4 linked regions of the Daphnia pulex genome follow. The protein of the gene in region 3 purifies or fractionates together with the protein of the main gene of each other region. This does not show direct contact. Links are inferred from orthologs where the notes say so. Each region holds a gene or a part of one and is shown on either strand. Other genes may lie near its edges.

Region 1 (4,121 bases), on a different chromosome or scaffold from region 3:
CTTCGATTTCAGCTGTCGATTTTGAACATTTCCTTGGTAACGCAGTCTTTTTACCGATCTCTGACTTGTATCGGTCAAATCTGCAGCAAACGCCGATCCTGATTTTTTCGCGACTGGTGCTTTTGTAGATTTGACGTCGCTGACATCGTTATTTAATCGCATGCTCTTCGGTTTACTCATTTTCTTGGCAGCTCTTGCTTGCATAAGCATGACTTTTTTCAATTCCAGTTGCGTCCGCTCTTCAGATGTCATTTCACCCTTCTTCTTGGTCTTTTTCTGTTCCTTCTTTCGTTCATTTCGTTTGATTTTCTGATTCTCTCCCAACTTCTTCTCAGGTTTCGGTCTTTCTTCTGTGGCACCTCCTTCGTTGGCCAATTTAAATCGATCTTTTTCGTCTAAACGCTCCTGGTGTGTCTGGAACCACTGTCGCTTCGGAGCAGCAGGTTCACCTTTAACTTTAACCATTTTTTCAGCTCGATTGATTTGGTTTTCCATTGCTGAAAGTTGGCTTTCAGATTTCTCTTCCTATAGGGGTAAAAACAAGATATTTAATCCAAGTTTTAAAATATTCATGTGAAATGTGCTCATACCGTAATAATGCTTTCCACATCCGGATCAATGAGGGCCAATTTCTTTTTATATTTTTCAAGAATCTCGTTTGGAATCAATCGTGATTTAACAGGATTGTTGGCCCTTTTAACGATTTCTTTGACCACTTTTCTTTCTCCTTCTCCAGCGAGTGATACGGAGACACCGCTTCGTCCAGCACGAGCCGTACGTCCAACTCGATGAATATAACGTTCGATAGTTGGTGGCATAGTATAATTTATAACTGTTTGCACTCCTGGGATATCTAAACCACGAGCTGCAACGTCCGTGGAAACCAAAATATCGATGTCTTCCTCCTTTAAGAGATAATACAAAGAGACGAGATTATTGAACGAACTAGCAATCAAATATTACTCTTGAATTTTAAGACATACCTTGAATTTTCTAAGAGCTTCCAGTCGCTGCGGTTGTGAGAGATTTCCGTGGAGTTCGCCTACTCTGATGCCTGCAATAGTAAACTTATTTTAAAAAACCCCAACAATTGAAATTAAGCCAAATATGATAGATACCTAACAATCCAAGTTGAACGTGAAGCCTGTGACAAAGCATTTTAGTTTGAACGAATACCATGCAATGGTTTCGGAAAGTTCGACACACAAGAGCACACAAGATTGCTTCTCTGTCACCTGTTGCATGTTAAATAATATCAGAAAATAAATTAATAAAAAGAATAACTTGGGATATTCAATATAGGAGAAAGTACCTTCATGATTTGGCCTGATGCGAACAAACTCCTGCCTCAAATTGAATGCTACATCGCGGTTATTATTTACGAAAACCTTGATGGGTTTGTTTAAAGATACAGCGGCCAAATCTCGAACTTCGTTACTCATCGTGGCAGAAAAAAGCATGGTTTGGCGTTTACGGCCGCATTGCATAATAATTTCTTTGACTTGTTCAATAAAAAATTCATCCAACATTCGATCGGCTTCGTCCAGAATCAAAACGTCAATGGCTTCAAGACTGCAAATTTCGAACGACAAATTTTGTTTTTCACAAAATTCTTGATAACATATTAAAAAAAAAAAGTTATGAAAACCTGAAGGATGGAGTATTGCGCAAGTGGTCAATTAAACGGCCAGGTGTTGCGATAACAACGTCAGGATTACCGCGAAGAACTTTTTCTTGGACTTTTAAATCAAGACCACCAATCTAAAGAAATGAAATTTCTAAGACTTTTGTAAAAGATTCATTGTTAATGTAGCAAAAACTTACTGAAAGTCCTATTTGAATATTGGTGAACTGTGAAAGTTGCTTGGAAACTTGATAGACCTAATACAAATAGGTATGAAAATGTGTAAAGTAATAAAATTCAATTGTAAGATCTTACCTGAACTCCCAATTCTCGAGTTGGAACAAGAACAAGGACACGTGTTGTTGCTGATACCTTGGGACGATACATCAACCTCTCTAGAACTGGCAACATGAAAGCTGCTGTTTTACCAGTTCCTGTAGCAGCACAACCACATACATCTCTGCCCAGTAATGCAACAGGGATTGTAGCTGACTGAATAGGGGTTGGATGAACAAAATTCATAGAGGCAATGGCTTTCATGAGAGGACGAGACAAATTCATTTCATGAAAACTCTCTGCTGGCTCATAGAGCAACGACTCGTCAAAAAAATCCTCTCCCATCCCCAAATTTGGATCAACTTCCTCATTTGACTTTTTCTTCCTTAGTTTCCTCTTCTTGTCACGCTCTTTATCTCGTACATTGTCCTTTGTCAATTCATCTTCAGACAGCAAATTTTCTTCAACTTCATCTTCTATTTCTTGTTCACTTCCATCTTCATCCCCACCTGTCAACAAAAGAAAGTAAGCTGACGTTTTTTAAGAACTTGAAAATAATATACAACCTTTATCTTTAAGCACTTGGGCAATTTTGTCGTCCGTCTTGCTTTTCGCTTTCCGTTTAATGTATTTTTGAACATCGTCTTTCCAAGGGTCGGCGTTGTAGTCGCCGACATTTCCAATAAACTCAAACTCTTGGCTGAACTCCTTACTTTTTTTAGTCTTGATTTCATCGCGTTTTAATTGTTTTGGTTGAAATTCTTCTTCACTTTCAGATGATGAATCGTAAAAGGGAATGTTTTCGTCATCGGATTCAATGGTTTTCACCAGATCCCACGTGCAGCCAGTAGCCTCCATGTTTTAAAAGTCGACTAAAAGTAATGTGTCGTCTGCAATGACAGGATGCCAGTTTGCAGCTTGTCTTCTTTCTACTTGTTTTACCAAAGGTAAATTTCGCAGATAGCGGAGTCAAGTTAATTTAGAATCCTAATTTAAATCGCAATAAAATACATTATATTAAATGAACTTTGTTCTTTGTAATGAGAAGCATCACTAGTCAAAACCACTTTTTTTAAAATATTCATCGTTACTTTAATCGAATGAAGAATTTTTTCAAATTAACTTTAACGGAAATATTTTTATTTACAGCTGTCTTCCGACATCAGAAATGACGAAATAGCCAAAATCAACTTTCTTCACGTTGTTTAATGGAATACCAATCATGAAAAAAATTAACATGTCTGTATTTATTCTAACAGTAAAAGTCTCCAAAACAAAAAATAAAGCGTATAAAAGCAAAATACAAATTTAAAAAGGTTGCCGCTTGTGCAAGGTCTTGAACCAATAGGCATAACCGTGGGGTCAACTCGTTCAAGTCCCTCGATTAGGGTCCCGCATTCAGATTATTTAATAAAAATTAAATTAAAACAAAAAGATCTATTCAGGGCAGATGTGCCGACGTTTTTTTTTTTTTTTTCGATTTTCATATCGTGTCTGAACATGAACTAACTGTTCCCCAGAATGCTGCAAGTTCGTGTCACAAACCCTTCCTCGCTCATCACAAGCGAAGTCCCCCAAGATAGATCCGGAACGTCATAACCATTAGGCCAAGACCCCCAACAACGAATTGAGTTGGAAAGGTAATCTTTTCGCTCTATTCCCAGGCCTTAAAATGTATTAATATCGACCCACGTCAAATTTGAATAAATAAAACTACTCTCTTATCAAGGAAAATGAAACGTGCAGATTTTACAACGAGAGCTTAATTGATTTTACTTTAAGTTCGCTTAAAGTTACTTTACTACCGCTTTTTTGTAAGTTCGCGCTTCGCTTTTTCCGCAGCATTCCGTAAATAAAAATGACAACGTAGCAATGCAAAACTCAATCAACAGAGAGCAGACGACTTGACGAGTCAAAATCAGTCCGAATCACAGTTTGAAATATCATTAAATTTGGAATTGTAAAATTAGTTTCTTTATAAAAATGATTGTCCCAAGCATTGCCCATTGCTTAAGGTATTGTTTTTATTCAATATTTATTAAAATGTACTTCTTTTATTCTTAGTACCGTTTTTTGTATCACTTAATACAGAAATCGATGCTTATCTTTTTCACTAATGAAACCAATGGCATGCATAGGTACACCAAGATTAGTTTCTGTCATTGGGACTCATCGTTTTTCTACAAGCATCAATCAGCAGTTTGATGAAGCTCAAAAAAGA
Region 2 (4,098 bases), on a different chromosome or scaffold from region 3:
CCTGTTGAACTCATCGATAAAATACTTGGTTAGCTGATACCTTTTGCTGGAAATCTCGAACATACGACTCATGACTCTGAGAATACGAATTCTGCTGGTAAAACTAATACCTAAAACTATGACTACACAATTCTCCAGACCGCGTTGTTAAGCTTGCCCCCTTGCAGCTAGTAGATTGCGTCGTTGAAACTTGGAAGTGCACACCTATCCAGCTGAAGCAGAATGTATCAAGCGCTGTGACTGGTTAATATGCAATCCAATTAATTTTGTATCACTTAAAAAAATGGGTAGGAAAAAATGTATAGGATTAAAACTAGACTTAGTCCATTCGAAAAATACAGAAGAAAAAAATATTACTCGAGGCTATATTATAGCTAGTACGACGTTGCCTTGTCGGCGGTACGCGTCACTGGACTACTGACTACTCTATACACCATGTCTATACTTCGTTTTAAAGTTAACTAACGGCCAAAATAGACTAATTCATTCCAGTTTCCAAAAATTTGTTTATCTCAACTTGGTGGCAATTTTAATTTATACTTCAGATTTAAAGATCTTTAACGTATTATCCGTTGCACCACTTATTATTATCGAAGGATTTGACCAGTCAGCGCACAGGATCTTGCCTTCATGTCCCGTCATGTCGTATAACGGAGCCTTGGGACTGAAAAGAAAAATTATTTCTCATTGAATTAACACGCAATTAATTATCAAATACTTGCCTCCTACTATCCCACAACTTTAAAATGTTATCATGGCCACCGGATACGAATAATCTTTCATGTGTCGTAGACCAACAAACCGTTGATACCCATCCAACGTGTGAAGTGAATGTGGCTTTCACAATTGACCCCTCTGTCAAAAAAAAAAATTGGAAATCATTAATGAGCCTATTAAAATGGTATAAAGCGCAACAGATGTACCTTGAGATCGGGCATCATACAAACGTATATGACGATCAGCTGAAGCAGTGATAAGAGTTTGGTTTAATGGAGAACGAGAAATGCAGAAGAAGGATTTGTTCCCAACAATTTCGGATTTTAATCCTCCTAATTCAGCATCCCACAATTTGATGGTGTGATCCCAGGAAGAACTAAAGATTTCATTGTTTTCAGTCCAAACAACAGAAGATATAGCTTCCTTGTGGCCAGGCAAAGTCATCAATGGTGTCTGTATTAAATAATGATTGAAATTAGTCTGTTCTAGCTTGACTGAAGGTATAAAATGTTGCGACACTTCATACAAAACACTTACACGTCTGAGTGATTTTCCAGAACCAGTAGAGCATCCTTTTTCCTTTTCACCATCATCAATTTCGTTTGTTGAATTTGAATCAGATGCTTAAAAAAAGAAGAATTCATTAAATTTAAACAGACACCTGAATACATTAATTAGAATATGTTACACTTACTGGCAGACCAAATTTTAAGCATATTATCCCAACCACCAGTAGCAAGGAAGGATGAATTCTTATCAACATCTACACATTCAATGGAGCGCTCATGTCCTCTTCCAATATGCACACATTCAATTGCATAAGTTTCAAGGTTCATTTTCCACAGCATAACTGTCTGATCATGAGAAACACTAAAAAAAAAAACAATAATTTTTTTTTTTTAAAGCTGATTATCACTAATTCAAAGAAACTAAAAATACCTTGCAAAAGTAGCAGTTGAGCCAGTCACTTCAATCCATCGTACTCCTTTGATGGGGCCACAGTGCCCTGGAATAGTTGACTTATGAGTACCATCAGTCTTCCATATATGCAAGGTATTATCATAACACCCTGTCAGGATCCTGAAATAACTAGCATTGTACATACACATTTTAAGACAACTAAAGATATGAGTGTAATACCAGTCTTTAAAACAGTGGGAAGCAGATACCCAGTCATCATGATTCAAACTATCTTCAGGTTCTGGAGCAGGGAATCTTTCAAGGTATTCTACTTCAACTGTGACTTCAGTATTAATGTCTTTCAGTTTTAGATGTTCAATAAGTGGAAGCCTTACAAATTCTCCGCATACTAGAAAATCAAAATCTACCTCATCCCATCCTGATTCGTGTGTTTCTAAAAAACAAAATTATTAGTATTAATGATTTTGAAAATTTTAAATCATTTACCTCTTAGCAAATTGTTGACTAAAACACTTAGTGAGTCTGCTTTTATTCCAGAAGGGATTGAAAATGGAGCTTCTGGGAGAGCATATCTGTCATCAGAAAAAAGAATGAATATTTTGAGCAACAAATGGACTCGGTAGAAAGACTTACTTCTCCTGTTTCGTTACAAATCTCACTTGAATCTGGCCTTCGTCATTTAACAAGCTTCTTTTTAAAGCCGCCATTGCAAGAAATTTATGACGTTTACTTTTTAATAAAGGTTTGTTAACAGTTTAACACTCGATAATTGTGTGGTTTGGATGAGACCACTTTTGATGTTCGGTCCGCGACTCCACGTGTTCTTGCACTTTCAGTCGTCTGTAATCAAAGCCTGCTATATTTTTACAAAGCCGAAACGATAGGAATTTAAAAAGTGAAGCCTTTTCGCCTACCCTTCCTCCAAGTAAAGCTTTTGACTGCCATCTAGTTTTTGAATAATAAACATGCAATTGTTGCATTTATCCGACATCTGACTCAAATGACGTGTGAACTGTGAAGGGGGCTAGAAATAAAATAACTCGTATTCTATCAATATTTTAAAGCTAAATCATGCAGCGACACAAAGACACGCAAAAAATCTAAAAATTGTTCCCGTCTTAGTGAGTCTACGCGAGTCTACCAGGAGTCTACGGTCTAGGCCTCTGAAGTCTAAAGACTATAATAAGCCAGGCTCCAAAGCGTCTTTTGGTGGTTTGCGACGCAATGCCAATGAGACGTGGCACCATATCTTCAACTGACTGGCCCAATTCCAGAATTGAATTACATCGATCATTTCCTCTATCAAAATTTTTATAGAAGATTTTTTTTTTTTTTTTTTTTGTTTTTGTTTTTAATTTAAATTTTCTGTACAGAGAGAAAAAAATGTTACACTATGTGCCAAACTCATGGAACGATTTGCGCGAACTGCACTTATAGTTGGGCGGCAACCTGTTCAATACCTTCGTTCATTAACTTCCTTGTCAGTCAGCACCAAACTTAATTTTGACGCTTAGTCTAATTTCAGTAGACGAACCAGTGTAAAGTTTTACTGTTTTAGTTTAATTTCAATAGGCGTCAAGGAATTGAACACTAAAAAAATTCTCGATCAAGTAATGGCCAGTTGTTAAACGAATAAAAAAATTCCACCCATTCATTGGGTAAAGTTGAAGTTGTCTTATTATTTTAATGTATTAATCGACGGGAAGTTCCGCCATATGTCATGCAAGAGATTTAATGCCTTTTTGAAATTTTGATTATTAAATCATTTATCGCTAGGCTTTAGAGCTAACGGTTTGTAACAGGTTGTAATAATGAGAGCTGGACTCTCATCCCTCACTCGAAATCTTGATTGTCGTTTGATTCCAATAGACGCGACTAGGTAGCGCCTCTGTCGACCGCTGCCCGCAAAATTGTCGGCAACGGCGGTTTCCGTTGAAAAGCAGCGCCTCTACCGACCACTAGCGGAGGGTGACAGGTAGATACCAGATAAGTTGAAGGGGGTCGGGTGGAAAAGGTGACTATTATACATAAAATCATGCCTACTTTTGTTAGCTGTCATTGAAAAAGCGTTTCCTGTAAGCATAGTTTTCCTGAGGGGTGTAAACTAAAAGAATTACCCCCATAGCGGTATAGACCGGTAGTCAACTCCCAAATCGGAGTTGATTTAAGAGTCTCTCCCCGTCATGAAAATAAATAACGAGGGCATGCAATACTATCGTTAAACATTTCTTTATTTTTCTTGCCGATTTACATGGGCAAATTCACTTTCCACAACCCTAGACAGTTATCGTCGTTTGTATAATCAAAGCTCACTTTTTAAAATTTCAGTTTTCATTCCGTTTGCCAACTTTAAATTTCATTATTTTCGGGGGGATTTCCCATGGGCAACAAAGGCAACGCAATGCAAATAAGGTACTTTTCATAAAATTGCAAGTTACGGAAAGATTCAACGAAATATTT
Region 3 (4,331 bases):
TTATACCAAGGGCTCCATACACTGGTTTTCCCACTAAAAAAAGGGAACACCAATTGCGGTCATCGCCAGAAGGCATCCCGGTGGCCCAGTTAAGGAGGCCAGCACTGCCAGCAGCAAAGGCAAATGTTCGATAACCCTCCCCCCAAAAGGAAGCTTCATGGAAGTACGCATGCATGCATTTATAAATTGGTCGTAGTCATAACGCGTTAAAAACAAGACAACAAAGGTGTTGCTAGGCCCGCAATTAACTCCATAATTGCCGTATTCATACTAAACGCCTTTCAGAGATTGTTTCCACAATAGCGTGTATTAAGACAAAAAAAGGGAGAAGAATACGACAACTTACGCATCCTTCTTTATTTTCTTGATTTGCGTGTCTGAGGTCGTGGACGATAGGGGTTGAATGGACCATTTCGCGGTCAGTTCTTTCCCAGTAGACGTACTTTTCTTCAATGCTTTTTCTTCCTTTTCGTGGAACTTGCGTTTGTTTTCCAAACGCTTAGCTTCGCGTTCACGGCTCTTACGATTCTTCATCATGGAGCGATACAATCGTTTGTCTTTGTTGCGAATCATAAGTTCACGGAATTTGTAGTGTTCTTTTTCCTCTTCGTCCATACCCTTGATGTCAGGCATTTCAACGCGACCTCTCATTACCTTCATGCCTTTTTTCTGCGAGAAACATCGTTGTAAAAATACATTTAATTGCTTTTTCAGAAACATCGTTAAAAAACAAACTCGTCATTACCTCCTTAACGACTTGAGACTTTGTGGTTTCATTCTTTTTCGGTTTGCTATCTTCTTCTTCTTCACTGCTATCATCCTCACTCTCCTCCTCCTCTTCTTCTTCCTCTTCCTCTTCAGCTAGTAATCACAAGGCATTAATTTAGCAAGCTTAATCAGTACGAAAGGACAAGTAAAAGCATACCTGGAAGGGTTTCGCCGCGCTCTAGAGCCAGGAGTACCTGTCGCTCAGGAGGAATGTAGTCACCAAGACGCTCAGTAACAAAGGGCGAGATATGCGGTGGCAGATTAGCACCAATGAAATAGTCTTCCACCGGAAGTAATCGACGGAAGTTGATGCAGTCAAACAACCATTGGGGTTGGATGTAATAACTGTCGTGAAGAAAAGCGGTTAGATGCGCAGTACTGACACAAATAAAAACCAAGCAATAATTACCGAGAAAGATATTGTTTTTCGACGGAAGGTCTGTCGATAATTTGATGTGTAATGCTTTCATCTGTCTCATCATATGTGGCGCCCGCAAATATGGAGGAATCCCACGAAGCTTCACCATCGCACGCTCGGATCACGAAAACAACCGATTCACGTGGAACTTCGCGACTAATGAAAAACTTTAAACCTTTGAAAAGATACTTCATTCGCTCAATTGCTTCCGCCTCACGCTTTGCTTCATCAAGTTTATCCTGTCCATCAGCCTATTGAATAAATGCTAGTTTTAGAACAAAAACAATAATTATTAAAAAGATTATTATTTTTTTTACCGATGGAAATTCGTCTATTTGAAGTTCTTCCTCTGCTTCGGGTACGTTTGCAACAAGACTCGTATTCAAAGCTGCTACCAGTTCGTTGTACTCTTCAGTAGCATCTTCATCCGCGGCATTTTCGTTAACTACAAATTATTTTTGTAAGTTTATTTAATTAATGAAGAAATATAAACAATATTACTATTAATTCCCGGAAGTTTCGGCGGATACTGAAGATTAATGGAGTGGTAGAGTCGGAAGTTTATGAATCCAAGCATTGAAGTATAAAAATCGACGAAATTTGTCATGATCCTATAATCAACATCCGATGCTGTTGTGGGCTAAAGAAATTGAAGAGATTAGAATGACACTCAAATTATTTGGTAGATAGACATTACCTTGAACCCTCTTAGATGGTTAATAAGAATTGTCACAGGCTGTCCTTTAATTTCTACTTGGTAGTAAATGCCTTTAACTGAAATAAAGACTTTGCGCAAAGCTTTGGCAGCAATAACATAATGTAAAAACTCAACGGTGAGCCTGCGACAAAGTGAAATCAGATTCGCCGGAACTTTGGTGTCTCGCGGTAGAGTCGAATAGAAAAAACAGAGGGTCAAACAATCATCCAGATCATTGAGTGCATCAAGAAATGAAGGGTATCTAAGAAGATAAATTAATCAATAGACAGTGAACATTTTATTATCTATTACCATTTCTTACCTTTCTTTTACCAAATGGTCTAACTTCATGCTAGGCTTGTTATCTTTCAGCCTTGCTACAGTTTCTTTATCACCTTTCTCCATCGCAGTCTTCATCTTCCTCATGAAGATTTTGAAGTCCCTGAACTTCCATATCAGAGGTTCGTGGCTCAAAAATCTGATATCTTTCACATAATACAGGGTCTTCTTGTCAAGCTTTCCCTTCTGGGCTTTCTTTCTGTTGTTGGGTTCACGTGGGTATACACCCTTCAAGATGCAAAGGCGCCGAAAGTCTTTCAAGTTTAGTTGCAGCTTTTTCAAGGCTTGAGCTCTTGTTATATATTTGGTAGCTTCACCTGCTTCGTACTAATTAAAGGATAATTAGTTTTCATCACGTTCTATTTCTCTTTGCTAAGGCATGACACGTCACATGTGCATATTTTAGACAGTGGCAGACAACATGAAAGATACAACACTACATCTATAATATGAACTCTTTTGGCAACAAACCTTTTTCTTCATACGGGCTCCCATTTTTTATGCTTGTTATATGCTATTTCAATTAAACGGATCAAAAGAACATACGCTCGATCGTATTGCGTATTTAAGCGACCACGTGCACCGAAAAGCCAAACTTTATGACAAGCAGACGACGGTATCGGACTATCGGTAGTTGACAATTCTAGTTCAAAAAGGCCGAGAAAACATTTCAACGTTTCCGATAAAACATCAATAAAATTGGGATTTTATAAATTTATCATTCTATAAAATTATTTTCGACATAAATTTACTAAATGTGGTCATTATAAAATAAAATCTTATAAGATTTTAATTGAAAAGCAAGTTATATTAATTATTCAATAGATGGCACTCATGGCAGTATGGATTTGACAGATAGTGAAACTGTGAAATATCTTGGGCGACTTGGCCTCTAATATTGATATTTGCTTTGAAAAAGATGAAAAGAAAAAGTTATCAACATTCGTAATTTCGTATTTCGTATTTATCACTTATCAGTGACGCAAGGTTTGTTAGCCAAATAAAACAGATTGCCAAGCCTAGAACATTGTCTATTCAAAGAAAATCGTTTCTTAGGCAGAGGCTGTTGAAACTTGAAACTGCTTGAAAGCTAAAGGCATATACTAATTACTGGACATGTAGGTATTATATGTAATGATACATTATTGTATACTGTAGTTTTCAAATACTACATAACAATCTATTTGCCCTATGTTGTATTAACCAAATGTTTGTTTTGATTAATATAGGGGATTGCATAATGTGAATCAATCATTCATTTTTCTGTGGCTACTTTTTATGATCTCAGTTCATTTACCAAACACAAAGTAAGTAAACAATTGATTGGTTTGCAATTGAATTGTTTATTCTAGGACATGGGCATAATGAATATTGAATATCGACTTGGTCCAGATGTGTCTTGTGTCATGCAGTATTAACTTGACCAAAATTATATTAAACATGGCAATCATTCATAATTATATTGCTTTATTTACTTACAGTGCTGCAGAGTATGTTATAAAAACATCATGGAATAACATGACAATTGATTCTTCTGATCAAGTCATAATAAATTTGGAGAAACATGATTCTAAGTCATTCAAAATTGTTGTTCAAGCTCCTTTCTACGATGACCCTCCTCCAAACACACCTGGTGATGTAGGTGAACCAAAATGGGGGCTTTGGGATTATGAATGTATGTACTCTACTAACTTTTGTCTATTAATTTTCTGAAAGTGTAAAGTATTATTTTCATTTAATTGATCTAGTGGTAAAAATTTTCTTCTTGAACGATCTACACCAGTATATTGAAATTCAGCTGGGAGCGTAAGTACATTTTTACACGGTTGAGCAATGGCTAGTTTAGTTTGCTACTAGATTAATGGAAGTTCAAATTTTTAATCAGGTGGGGCCATCACTTTGTATTACTCTTGAATGGGTATCGACACACGATTCGTTTCGGAATGTTGATAAATTACAAGGCATACAGGAGTGGCAAACGATGGAACGGAACTGCCATTATTCCTTTAACCTACCTGCCTGTGAACGCTTCCAAATTGAACGTCTTTTCATATCATGGTTCAAGAGATAAGCGTGTCGTAAACGCACTTTATCCTGTTGAAAACATTG
Region 4 (4,257 bases), on a different chromosome or scaffold from region 3:
CCGATTTCTTTGTAAATTCCTCGGACGGAAAAGATTTTGTGGAGTAGCATTTCTCTCTCTGCTCAACATCAAAGGCCGTCGCAACGAAATAAAATTAAAAACCACCATGCGGCGCAGTAGGAAACGATACCCACACACACTCACGTTCTCTAGCGGAAAGTGTCATCAGCCTGTTTTCTCGTTGAAAATATATACAAGTTCCATCAGTCTAAACGACAAACACATTTCCCTTTTTTTGTGTTGATTTTATGCGCTGATGGCTAGGCGCCAGATGGTTCAGTCATCGTCGCTGTTAATGTCGTCCTTAATTAGTTTTTTTGTTTCTTTCCTTTGGCCAAACTTATTGTTAGGGGATGGCTAGCGCTCGTTAGCGCTTGCGTTCATTAAATCTTGTCAAGGCCATCTAGCGGCGAAAAGTAGACGTACAATTTTCTGAAGCGGAATTTTCAATTTGACAATGCGGGATGGAATTCTAATTAATAAACCATAAATGTGTAGGCCTCTATGAATCCCTAGTAGCTCTGTTGACTAGGACTTCTTATTATTCGTGAATTAAATTAAAAATAATTTTGTATAGAACGTCGCCAAGTCGTAAGTTTTAAGATTTTTTCAGTTCGTTGCTACGACGAATCGCAGTAGTTGGTCTTGTTGATACCCTATTAGTGTCGTTATTCGTATAGTTTGCGCGATCGAATTACTTTTGTGAATTATTTACACCATGGAAAGAAAGGAGATCACAACTAAAATTTGTTGCGAAACTGCCAAAGAAAAGAAAGGAATCGATGCAAATCCCAAAAAGAAACAAGTGACCTTAACAGTTCAAAGCACTGAATCACCGATGGCTTTGAAAACGACCACTATTGCTGCATCAAGAGTTATCAAGGCTAATAATGAGGAACCGGATTTATCCATGACTTTACAAGGACGGAAGAAAGAAGATCGTGAGTTTAAAGACGAAGAAGGAGGTTATGAAGATGACCAAGAAGATAATGCTGTTGAAGATGTGGAGGAGGACGAAAACGTTTTCAAACATCGTGAAGAAGAGCGTGAGTTTGTGGAAGAACAAGGAGGCTACGAAGATGATCAGGAGGATAATATTGAAGATGCGGAAGATGAAAATGGGTTTACTGAAATGGATGAAGAAGGCGGATACAAAGACGAAGACGTGGGTGAAGAATGTTGAGAGGTTTCTATTGATTGGATTTGTCATGCTTCATTATTCAAAGTGATCATAATGTGTTGTCAACGCATAGTTATAGTAGACAGTTTTATTCCTTAATAAAAATACAAAGCGAAGCATTTTTTTATAAGGATTCACTTTTGTTTCGTTATTCATTTTTATCATTTCCCACCAAAACATCAGCGAACTCTAGCGATAGATCGGTAAACTAAGATCAAAACTTCACGTGGTAGTTTTCCAAAAGACGTCTGTCTACCAGTTGACTGAACAGTGAACACAATTTATTGAATTTAATTTGTGTTTGAATAAAAGTTTATAGTTTATCCAAGTTTGTCATCATCCGGTAACTGAAAATGGCAAAAAAGGGTGCCAAGAAAACAATGGTGGTGAGCAAAACGAAAAGAGCCAGCCACATGAAACACAAAAAAACTTACAAGGCAGGTGCCAGAGTTCGCCAACCATTCGTTAAACCGAAAACTCAACTGGGAGATAAAACCCAACCGAACAACAGCCGGCCAAATCAACAGGCAAATAAGAAAAATCCCGTAGCTTCTATTCCAGGGTCAAATAAGAAAAAGAAATTCAACAATGAGAAACCTATTCCAAAAACTGAAGAAATTGTTCAAGATGATTTTGATGCAGATGAAATGATGGACATGATGGACGAAGAAGAAGTCAGTTTCTTTAAAACAAAGGCTTCCAATATCCAACAAAAGAATGCCAATGCAGGAAAGAAACGAAAAATTGAAGAACACAATGGTGAGACAGTTGAAGAGGAGTACAATGAGGACCTCTATAACAGCGAGTTGACGAAGAAGAAAACAAGACACCTCCTTCCAATCAAGACCAAGCAGGGCATTGTTGAACAGACGATTGAAGTTGACTACCAATCTTCTGACGAGGAAGAAAAAGACGATGAAGATGCTGAAGAAGAAGAGGAAGCCCCTAAAAGCATGGCAGAAATGTATGCAAGGCGAAAACAGAAAATTGAAGACTTGAAGGCCCTGATTGGTTCCTCATCAAGCAACATTTTGGAAAATCCTGATGAGCGAATGGAGCATATCAGTGCTGTATTGAAACTATATGCCACTCTAACTCCAGATATTTTCATTACCGGCTTCAAACTAATTTCTGCTAGTCTTGTGGAACTCTTCAAGGATTTGGCACCTGGATTTGAAATTAAAATGACTTCTAAGCCTGGAGAAAGACTGAAGAAAGCCACCAGAGAAATTTACGGGAACGAAGCTCGTCTGCTTAAATATTACCAGATGTTCCTCAAGAAGCTAGAAGAAACTCTTTCTCCATTGAAGGAGATGAAAAAGAAAAAAGCCATTGATGAGTCCACTAGGAGAGTGGCAGTTTTTGCATTGAAATGCATGAGCGACTTGCTGGTGTCTATGCCACACTTTAATTTTGCCAAAAACATTGTTCACGCTTTAATTCCGTTTACTGCTCACAAAGTGGACGATGTACGCTTTTTGATTTGTTCAGCATTCAAGAAACTCTTCAAAGACGACAAGAAAGGCGAGATTTCTCTACACGCAGTTCGACAAATCAATCACCTTATCAAAAACAAGCGACACCACCAGATTCCACCCGATTGCCTCGACATCCTAATTGCGTTACGTATCAAGGACGTTAATTTAGATCGGGAAAGGGAGGAAGAAATTAGTAGGTACAAAACCTTGACTCGCAAAGAAAAAATCCTCATAATGTCGAAGAATGAGCGACGTCGAAGAAAGAAGATTGAGCGGCTGGAGAAAGAAGTCGTCATTGCCAGAGCAGAGCATAGTAAAGGCAGTAAAACTAAATATCAGACAGAAACGGTCAAGTTGGTTTTCACCATCTATTTCCGCATCCTTAAAATGGCACCGAAATCCGGTTTGATGGGTGTCGTGCTTCAAGGATTGGCAAAGTATGTTTATATTTTTTTAAATTTTATTTTGACAAAGGTAATTTCTGATTATTTCTCTTTTTACGTAGGTTCGCGCATACGATCAACGTGGACTTTTTCACCGACTTGGTTGAAGTTTTCAATAACCTCATTGCAAATGACCAGCTTGATTACCGTCAGTGTCTGTACGCCATCCAAGTAGTGCTCATTATGCTCTCGGGTCAAGGAGAAGCCCTTAACATCGATCCCATTCATTTCTATTCTCACTTGTACAAAGTTATCTTTAGTCTTACTGCTGGTACGTAGCATTTATTTCATTTATACCGATTAGTTTGTCATTAACTTTGCGCTTGAATGTAGGCCCGTCGAATTCTAACGTTCCGATCGCAATTGACTGTCTGGAAAACATGCTCATAAAACGAAGGAAGAAGGTTTCAATCCACCGAGTTTTGGCCTTCACAAAACGAGTATCGACTCTAGCTCTTCAAGTCCAGCATAACAGCAGTATAAGCCTGCTTAGTTTGGTCCGCGTTCTTATGAGTGTAAGCATTTCCCTTTCTTTACTCACAACAAGATTCAGAATAACTTTTTTATTGTTATGCAGACTCATAAACAAACAGACATGCTGCTGGATCTAGATACTTCTTCCGGCAGCGGAACTTTTTTGGCAGAATTGGAGGAGCCCGAACATTGCAACGCAGGCAGTACTGCTCTATGGGAACTCCATTCACTCGTGAGGCACTATCACCCAGTTGTGGGAAAATTCGCTAGACACATCCTGCTCAAAAGCCCGACTACTGGAAATGGGGCGTTATCGATGGAATTGACTCGCAAGTAAGTCGTACTTTCATGATGATTTCTGTCGCTCTTTAATAGGCTAACATTCTAAACTTTATTTTATTAGGACACCATTGGAATTACACACGCAATATGATCCGTCGCTACTTGCTTTTCTGCCTGCCGTGCCGGGTCCAGCATCAACCCCTATCAACTTGAAAAAACTGAGCGCAGAGGAATTTCACAGTTCAGAACTTGAGGCATTCGTTTCAAAAGTATTGAATACTGATCACATGAAACAGTGGGAGGACGATAACACTGCACAGCAATTGGCTTCAGCTACAAATGGTGTACATAGTTGATTATACCCAATTGTTCATTTCACATGATTATGATTTGTGATCTT

What was found.
Region 1: the proteins of pescadillo homolog (region 3) and probable ATP-dependent RNA helicase DDX27 purify together in Homo sapiens (affinity purification with mass spectrometry; 4 studies listed by BioGRID and IntAct, counting the BioPlex papers as one, with this or other methods). This does not show direct contact. The link is inferred for Daphnia pulex from reciprocal best matches to the Homo sapiens genes PES1 and DDX27.
Region 2: the proteins of pescadillo homolog (region 3) and ribosome biogenesis protein WDR12 homolog purify together in Homo sapiens (co-immunoprecipitation; 7 studies listed by BioGRID and IntAct, counting the BioPlex papers as one, with this or other methods). This does not show direct contact. The link is inferred for Daphnia pulex from reciprocal best matches to the Homo sapiens genes PES1 and WDR12.
Region 4: the proteins of pescadillo homolog (region 3) and nucleolar complex protein 3 homolog purify together in Homo sapiens (affinity purification with mass spectrometry; 3 studies listed by BioGRID and IntAct, counting the BioPlex papers as one, with this or other methods). This does not show direct contact. The link is inferred for Daphnia pulex from reciprocal best matches to the Homo sapiens genes PES1 and NOC3L.

The regions. Positions count from the first base shown.
Region 1 is NC_060018.1:13,199,180-13,203,300, reverse strand, and holds the start of probable ATP-dependent RNA helicase DDX27, read right to left. Parts: upstream 2,816-4,121; 5' UTR 2,759-2,815; coding exon 2,467-2,758; intron 2,410-2,466; coding exon 1,940-2,409; intron 1,882-1,939; coding exon 1,825-1,881; intron 1,762-1,824; coding exon 1,649-1,761; intron 1,573-1,648; coding exon 1,313-1,572; intron 1,236-1,312; coding exon 1,119-1,235; intron 1,055-1,118; coding exon 984-1,054; intron 906-983; coding exon 591-905; intron 526-590; coding exon 1-525. Other genes in the region: enoyl-CoA delta isomerase 2-like, read left to right, coding at 3,884-3,915, 3,992-4,121. UniProt on the Homo sapiens protein: Probable ATP-dependent RNA helicase. Component of the nucleolar ribosomal RNA (rRNA) processing machinery that regulates 3' end formation of ribosomal 47S rRNA.
Region 2 is NC_060024.1:1,155,455-1,159,552, forward strand, and holds ribosome biogenesis protein WDR12 homolog, read right to left. Parts: upstream 2,835-4,098; 5' UTR 2,553-2,834; intron 2,479-2,552; 5' UTR 2,346-2,478; coding exon 2,272-2,345; intron 2,211-2,271; coding exon 2,125-2,210; intron 2,072-2,124; coding exon 1,858-2,071; intron 1,798-1,857; coding exon 1,657-1,797; intron 1,588-1,656; coding exon 1,412-1,587; intron 1,341-1,411; coding exon 1,255-1,340; intron 1,171-1,254; coding exon 924-1,170; intron 856-923; coding exon 723-855; intron 665-722; coding exon 535-664; 3' UTR 487-534; downstream 1-486.
Region 3 is NC_060028.1:9,972,459-9,976,789, reverse strand, and holds pescadillo homolog, read right to left. Parts: upstream 2,862-4,331; 5' UTR 2,718-2,861; coding exon 2,694-2,717; intron 2,550-2,693; coding exon 2,206-2,549; intron 2,146-2,205; coding exon 1,884-2,145; intron 1,827-1,883; coding exon 1,688-1,826; intron 1,632-1,687; coding exon 1,504-1,631; intron 1,438-1,503; coding exon 1,178-1,437; intron 1,114-1,177; coding exon 926-1,113; intron 862-925; coding exon 746-861; intron 670-745; coding exon 343-669; 3' UTR 289-342; downstream 1-288. Other genes in the region: uncharacterized protein LOC124208492, read left to right, coding at 3,339-3,340, 3,452-3,529, 3,704-3,897, 3,971-4,028, 4,108-4,331. UniProt on the Homo sapiens protein: Component of the PeBoW complex, which is required for maturation of 28S and 5.8S ribosomal RNAs and formation of the 60S ribosome.
Region 4 is NC_060017.1:6,524,046-6,528,302, reverse strand, and holds the start of nucleolar complex protein 3 homolog, read left to right. Parts: upstream 1-1,401; 5' UTR 1,402-1,533; coding exon 1,534-3,095; intron 3,096-3,163; coding exon 3,164-3,372; intron 3,373-3,434; coding exon 3,435-3,616; intron 3,617-3,678; coding exon 3,679-3,908; intron 3,909-3,978; coding exon 3,979-4,213; 3' UTR 4,214-4,257. Other genes in the region: glutamic acid-rich protein-like, read left to right, coding at 719-1,183. UniProt on the Homo sapiens protein: May be required for adipogenesis.